2 linked regions of the Drosophila melanogaster genome follow. The protein of the gene in region 1 interacts with the protein of each later gene in a pairwise test. Each region holds a gene or a part of one and is shown on either strand. Other genes may lie near its edges. The genes, in order: CG9890 and CG11076.

Evidence for each region.
Region 2: the proteins of CG9890 (region 1) and CG11076 interact in a two-hybrid assay, tested with the Drosophila melanogaster proteins (2 studies listed by BioGRID).

The regions. Positions count from the first base shown.
Region 1 is NT_033778.4:23,062,167-23,066,085, forward strand, and holds CG9890 (uncharacterized protein), read right to left. Parts: upstream 2,095-3,919; 5' UTR 2,056-2,094; coding exon 1,809-2,055; intron 1,755-1,808; coding exon 643-1,754; 3' UTR 581-642; downstream 1-580. Other genes in the region: DCTN3-p24 (dynactin 3, p24 subunit), read right to left, coding at 1-344; PPO3 (prophenoloxidase 3), read left to right, coding at 2,663-3,649, 3,714-3,809, 3,871-3,919. UniProt on the Drosophila melanogaster protein: DNA binding protein which is involved in the positive regulation of both basal and inducible transcription.
Region 2 is NC_004353.4:1,028,884-1,032,842, forward strand, and holds CG11076 (uncharacterized protein), read right to left. Parts: upstream 2,093-3,959; 5' UTR 1,928-2,092; coding exon 1,088-1,927; 3' UTR 828-1,087; downstream 1-827. Other genes in the region: mitochondrial inner membrane protein MPV17, read right to left, coding at 1-366; ATPsynbeta (ATP synthase, beta subunit), read left to right, coding at 3,007-3,070.

The sequences.
Region 1 (3,919 bases):
ATGCTGCGGAAGTACTCCGCGCCCAGGGCCGGTTCCAGCTGCTTAATCCTCTCCAGCTGCTCGGCCTGCGTGTGCAGCTCGGGGGCCACGGCTTGCAGGTACACCTCCTTGGAGCGCACCTGCTGGTGCTCCTCCAGGAAGTTGGGGTCCAGGTACTTCTCCAGCTCGTCAGATCTCTTCACGCACTGCTGCAGTGCAGCACTTCCTGTGGTTGCTTCGCCCAGGATGGCGTGTGCCGAGCACAGGGCGTCGACCACGCCCTCGCCCACCTCAGAGTCCTGGACCGGACCCAGGACTCGTGTCAGGGCATCGATGCGCTTCTCCAGAATGTCCAGTGCCTCCATTTTTCGCTGAATTTCTCTTTATTTTGTTCGTTTTGATGGGAATGATGTCAGTCTGCAAAACAATCGATGTCCAACGAAAAGGTGGCAACGTTAGCTTGGTGGCAAGGTTCTTGTACTCGCTAAGCAGAACGAATTAACCCTTATGCGGACTAAAAAATATGGTATTTAAATAAAATATTTAGCTCCTCTGCATAAAGTTTTTGGTGCATACGTATCTATAAATATAGTACACACTTAAATTCCATTGCTATTTACTTAGTTTCTTTTAAACGTAAACTGTACAATACAAAAATCTCAGTTACAACAGCTTAAAATTCTCGAGGGACAACCGCTCCGCATCCTTGTTGATCTGCGCCAGACTATCCTCGGAGATGATGCGCACCGTATCGACGTCCGGGTCATCGCCTCCGGAATCATCCAGCACACACAGCAGACCATCGTTCTCGATGTACGGGAAGAAGAACTCGGGCTTGTCCCAGCTCTCCTTATCGCCGATTCCGTGGTGCGACTCTTGTGCCATGTGCTCCACGAGCAGCTCCTCCTCGTCGAACTGCAGATCGCAGGTCACGCAGCGCAGCAGGCACATTTGGCGGCGCAGGTAGTTGACCACCTTGACGCGTTGGTAGAAGTTCAGAGAGCTGGTGGCCTTCTCGAAATCCAAGCGATGAACCTCGTGCATGTGCTTCTTGAGGGCGGTGAAGTTGTCGCCGAGATGGTGGCAAAACAGGCACTTAATGGAGCTAGGCTCACCATCTGCCGCCCAATCCGACCAGTCCGAATCGTGTTCGCCATCCGAATCAGGGCGAGCGAAGTGCTTGTCGAAGTCCACGCTGCCGGTTTCAGGATCAGCAACTGTGGACACGGATGCCGTTTCCCGTCTTCGCTTTTGGAGGTGCTGTTTCCGGGGCGTGGGGGCCGTTGGTACACGATTGTAGTTGATAAGGAAGTACTTGTCGTACTCCCTTCGGTTCGGATTGATCCGCTTGTGGCCCTTCTTGCGCATGTGTTCCTTGAGCGTGGGCCGATCCCTGAAGATCTTCTCGCAGTAGAGGCACATTAACCGATTCAAGTTCTCCTCCAGGTGATCCAGCAGTTCGTCCACATACACCAGCTTCTCGGGCTTGCCGACCAACAGAAAGTGCTTGTCAAACAGATGGTCCAGATAGTCCGCCCTCAATCCCTTGATGATGGCCCTGCAGAAAAGGCACTCCTTGGAGAAGGTGCGGTCGGTTAGCTCGAACTGATGTCGCTCCAGGGCTTCACTTAGGCGCTTCTCCTTCAACCTTCGCCGCAGCTCGTAGTCCTGGGGCAGGATGTCACACAGCAGGTAGTACTTTTCGTTCTTGGCGTACTTGCCATCGGGCAGCTGATCCAGGAACATTGTGGTGCAATATTGCTCGAATTCGTGGGCTAAAATGGGTAACAATTATTAAATTTTCAGGGTAGGGTTGCTGATTCTCTCACTGTGAAACTCCTTTTCCCAGTACTGGAGGTAGTCCTCCAGAAGCGCTATATCCTCCACATCGGCGATGACCAGTCGGTGCTCCATATACAAATGCGCCAGGCAGTCATCTTTATCTGACGGAAATATGTACACCTTGTCGCATTTCAGGCACTTGATGGCCGTGTTCTTGGAGGGCTTGAGTTTCGAACTGCCAGTGATCTCCTCCAGCGAGGAATCCCCTCCTGAAACAGCCACCTCGTGCTCCATTTGTTTACGTTCTCCTGGTGCTCCACGAATAAGTGTGACCGCAGGTGCTTAGCGGCAAAATACTGTTTGCGAGATAAGCTTAATTATGACGTACACTGGAAACAATTGAAAATTTAATGAATTTAATTTAATGCACAAAAAAAATTAAATAAATACTTACAACTGTCTTATGAAGACTAAATAATCAAAAAATGATATTCAGTATTTTCGATGTAGACAACACGTACTGGAAATGTTAATATCCTTATAGGATATTATACGATTCAAATATTTGTAACTTATCTGTGAATTAAAATTCTGAAACTTACAAATACATTGTTCGTTAAGTTTTCAACAGACTATGATGAATCAGCAGCATCTTATCGGTTAAAAATGTTTTTTTCGGAACTCTGTGATTCAATGCTTATACTATGGCAATAGTTAAAAATTCTTAAGTTAGTAATATTTTAGATTGTTTTTTGGGGTTGACGAACTTGAGATGTTCGCCATGTAACCATAGGGCATTTCGGCTGCTGGGTATAAAAGGAGCTGATAGTTGGGTGGGGACGTGCAGTTGAGAATCAGCAACTGCTCGCTAAAGGTCCTCCTAATCGCGAATCCATCGAAAATGGCCGACAAGAAGAATCTGCTCCTTCTGTTCGATCATCCCACGGAGCCCGTGTTCATGGACAAGGGTGGCAATGGCACCGTCTTCGACGTGCCCGACTCCTACGTGACCGATCGCTACAATCAGATGTGCAAGAAGGTCCAGCGGCGCGTGAGCAGCGCGTCCGAGAAGAACGTTCAAGTCAAGGAGATCGCCATACCGGATCTCAGTTGCTCCATGAGACTGGGCCGCTCGGAGCAGTTCTCGATCTTCCTGAAGTCCCACCGCAAGATGGCCAGCCACCTGATCGAGATCTTCACCAAAATGCAGACCGTGGATGAGCTGCAGAGCGTGGCGGTGTACGCCAGGGATCGCGTCAATCCGGTGCTCTTCAACTACGCCTTGTCGGTGGCCCTGCTCCACCGTCCGGACACCAAGGACCTCGAACTGCCCGCCTTTGCGCAGACCTTCCCGGATCGCTTTATCGACTCGAAGATGCTTCGCAGCATGCGCGAGGAGTCCTTTGTGGTGGAGCGCTCCGCCGCCCGCCTGCCCGTCGTCAGTTCGGTCAAGTACACCGCCTCCGATCTCGATGTGGAGCACCGGCTGTGGTACTTCCGCGAGGACCTGGGCGTCAACCTGCACCACTGGCACTGGCATCTGGTCTATCCCATAGAGGCGCCCGACCGCAGCATCGTGGACAAGGACCGTCGTGGCGAGCTGTTCTACTATATGCACCAGCAGATCATTGCCCGCTACAATGCCGAGCGGCTGAGCAACCACATGGCCCGGGTGCAGCCGTTCAACAACCTGGACGAACCAATTGCCGAGGGCTACTTCCCCAAGATGGACTCGCTGGTGGCCAGTAGGGCGTATCCTCCGCGCTTCGATAACACCCGGCTGAGCGATGTGGACCGGCCTAACAACCAGTTGAGGGTTGGCATCGATGATATGAAGCGCTGGCGCGAACGCATCTACGAGGCCATCCATCAGGGCTACGTTTTGGATGTGAGTGGGGAGCTCTCCGATTCCAGGAGTACATGCATCCAACAACTAATTGGTTATTTTTTAGACGAACAATGAAAAGATCGTGCTGGATGACGCTAAGGGCATCGACATCCTGGGCAACATCATCGAGGCTTCCGATCTGACGCCCAACAGTACGCTGGTAAGGAATCTAAGTGATAATCTGTAGATCACCTTTCCATGTATATTATTTCCATCTGCAGTACGGCGACTTCCACAACATGGGGCACATACTGATTGCCTACTCACACG
Region 2 (3,959 bases), on another chromosome or scaffold:
AGATAGGTAGCTATCAAGAATGCGCTGCCGGATTCGGTCGATGGGCTCTCCGTTGGAGAGTGGCACCAAAAAAGACATGGCCATGGTAAAGGGTGGCGCAAAAAGGGTCTGGTCGACCAGCATTTTGGTAACGCCCCGCCGCATTGGCGAGTAGGTTTTGGGAACCCGGGACTCCAAAAAATGGTACCACCGGCGCAAAGTTGGGCCAACGAACACCAGTCCAACGATGCCGAAACGGAGGGTTCGCCCCGCATCCCATTCGTCCAACGATTTCTTATCAAAAAAGAACTGGGATATAGTATCGCCCAGACACATTACCGCCGCCACATTGATGCCATCCTTTAGGTACGCTTTAAGTCTCTTCATCCTTATCAGAGATCAGTTCCATTCATAGCCCGATCCAAATTGTTTTAAATACGCAATTAAAACACAACTGAGAAATCGATTTGCTGTTGTTCGTGTAGTTTTAAAGGGTTGCCTAATAATCGCAAAGTGATTGGTGTCAATTGCTGAAGTGACAAAAATTGGCAACTCTGAATAATTATTTAAATTAAATTATGCTAGCGTATTCAACTTTTTAACGCGCGTGAGTCCTTTTAATTGTTACATGCCGAATGAGAAAACGTTAAATTGCGTTCAATATGCAATTTAATGTAATGTAATGTAAAATAACTTAAACGTTTTAAGTATCGAACTGTTTTAGCACAGAAATCTCTTTCGGAACATGCGCAACGCGTATTCTTAATATTCTTTTAAATATAAATCTTAACTTTAACCACCGCTCTTTCTCCGCAACTATTAAGGTACTGATATTAACGTCAGCTGTTCATAGTGCTGTGAACACGCCTTGACAAAGTGCAATTTTATTTCGTTATTAAATGACTACATTAATTTATGCAGCTTATATGTGATAATCTATAATCCAAATCGTTACATATTTTTATTTAATTACGTAAGTATGTGAATTTATCTTAAGTAAACTCTAATTCTTAATGGTTTCCATTCGACTTTTTTAAGCCTTCTTGTGCAATTACTTCGTCCAGGTCATTAGCGGCCGTTGCTTTCATTTAATTTAAGCTTCTTTTGTCTATTTCCCTACTGCATTTCCCGTTTTGTGACCGTTTGAATTAAATTTTTTCTTGCGCATTTTGGCAGGACCAACTTCCTCTGCTGGGTTCATTATATTTTTCTCGATGTCCTCTTCGTCTAAGAGATCTTTATATAGATCCGGGATTATTGTTTCCTTCATGAACTGCGGCGTACGACCGGTAAGCACCGACTGTCGCACATCGTCCTCTTTTTGTTCTAGCGTCTGTGTGGTGGTGTGCAGCTTGCTCCGGATCTTGTAGTAGTTAGCAGTGCTGCGAAGCTTGGCAGTAGCTTCCAAGAATTTCTCGTCTGCTTGACTAAGAGATGTGGAAATCATCTTCGGTAATTGGATGCGTTGCTTGTAGCTGCGCCCGAACAACGGATGTCGTTCTCGTAATAGGTACTTGGGTAGCGTTAGATCAGCTTGAATTGTATGTTCCTTCTGACCTGGTAGCGGTTGTTTATCATATAGACGCTTGCTGATTACCACATAGCCGACAAAGGGAATTTTCCGGAGGGCATAGGGACCCATAGATCTCAAATAGCCCAGTGCCTCGCTCTGTAACGTCGAGTTTTTGACGGCACGAACCTGGAGATCGCCCACGCTCTTCCTGCCAGGAAGCCTAATGCGCTTGCCGACTAGCAGATGTGGATCTGCACCCTTGGGACACTGGACCAGCCAGGCTTCGTCGGTCTGACCATCGAAATCCCAAAGAGCATCCCCGCAGCACTCACGAGCAGCCGCGCCTGAGGTCAGGTTCACGTACTGTTCCTCCTCCAGAAATTGGCTCCGAGGTTTTTCCTCCTGGCGGGAAAAGAGTTTTTTACTTATTTTCATTGAGCGTTGGGGAAATCAATGTATTGCAGAAAATGACCACACGTGGTACAGGTGGAAAAATACAAGGGAAATATCGATGCATCGATAACTTAAAATGATTTGAAGGAGTAAATATTGTAGTTATGTGTTTGTAAGCGTAAACACCCCTAACCTAGATAAACTATTAGATTTTAGCGATGGGTAGGAAGGAAATGTTTATAGCTGTTTCTCGCTAAAATGGAAGGGCTTAGCAAAAGTAATAAACCCTAAGTTTCCCATACCAACCAGTTTAACATAAACAAATTTATTTTTTAGGTTTTAAAATAACGCTTTTCTTCAGGCAGACAAGCCGACAAAAATTGTATTAAGACAAATATCGAAAAATTTTGTTTGCTTTTGATATCTTTTAAACAAAAATTAATTGCCAATCAGACTGACTAAGAATTGTTTACTCGCTTTTTCAACCATATCTTCTTCATCATCTTCATATCAGGATCACCAGCCGAGTCGATCTACACATGTCCCTCTGTATGTCGAGATCACAGGAACTACGAAAGCTAGATAGTGATTTAACAAGTTGAGACTTAACATTCCAGAGACGAAGAATCAGGGCAAGTTTTTTCATCGATGCTGCAACGCACAATCTATTGCCCACACGCCGCCCAAAACTGTCACGCCTACCACTATTAATATCATTTTTTGTCATATATTTTCCAAATTCTATCCATAAGCCATAAAATAATTTAAATTTCTCTTGCGTACTTGCGTTCTCTCTTGTTTTACTTATTTTTGTTGGTGCAGTTACCTCTACTCAGCCACATCAGCTTGCAATCCATTAAACCACCTTTTCATGGGTGTATCAGTCGTTAGTGTCGGGCAACCACAACAGTTACAGTTCATTGTGTATATATAAAAGTGGCATTCGGACACTCTCCTGGTGCGGTAACAACAACGTAAGTCCACATTATGGTCTGAATACGCAAAAATACTAAAACCTCGATATGTTTTGGAAGCGTAAATACTCAATATATCGCGACTACCGATTTGCTCATCACTAGGACTTCTGCTCGCCCGCACACTTCTCAGTTAGTTCGAGAAAAATGTTCGCGTTACGTGCTGCATCTAAAGCCGATAAGAATTTGCTGCCATTCTTGGGGCAATTGTGTAAGTAGCACAAAAATAAAAATTTTTAATTGATAACAATTGTATTAAATTGCGAAGTTCAGCACAAAATATGTGCTTTGGCTAATAGCGCAATTGTCGAACATAACCTATCGTTCAATAAAATGTTACGAGCGAAAAAAAATATTACATAACAATTTTGAATGATTTAAGGTTACTTCTGTTTTATAACATATATAACAGTACTCAATTTAAACGACTTTTGAAAAAAAAAAAGATTTTTTTAGTCAGACATTTGCGTGTACGTCTTTCTGTAAGTTAACTAGGTATGTACATATATTGTATGCCGATATTGTTTGACGTTTTAAATTGAATAAATTTTTTTTTCGTTATATTGCAATTGAATTCTTCACAAAGTATTTTGAAAATTAAAGTTACTTAAAAATTAAATTAATAATTAATAGTATAATATTAATTGTTCATCATTATCTTAAAAAATAATATTAAAAATTGTCGATATTGATGCCCAAATTGTTACTGTTTAAGTTTTACGATGATGTATTCTACTAGTATCACTTTCGTTAAGTATAACATAAATCTGTATATATTGGTATCTAGTGATAGGAAAATCAATAAACTGATAGTACTTTTTATTAAAAAATGATACCAATTAGCTTTACATATGGGGTATTAAGAAAACCTTTTCATACGCTGGCAATATAAATTAGCAAACTTTTCCGATCCCATAAATTTTATTCGATGATCAGGATCATCAGCCGAATGTGTTTTATTCATTCATTAAACAAATCAAGCATCTAATACAATGTTAGATACATATATATTTTTTTGCAAGCACCTGCTGCGGTGGCCTTCGACAAGTCCTGATTTTTTATTTACAATTATTCTCAAGAAGTAAGCTAGTTTTCTTTAA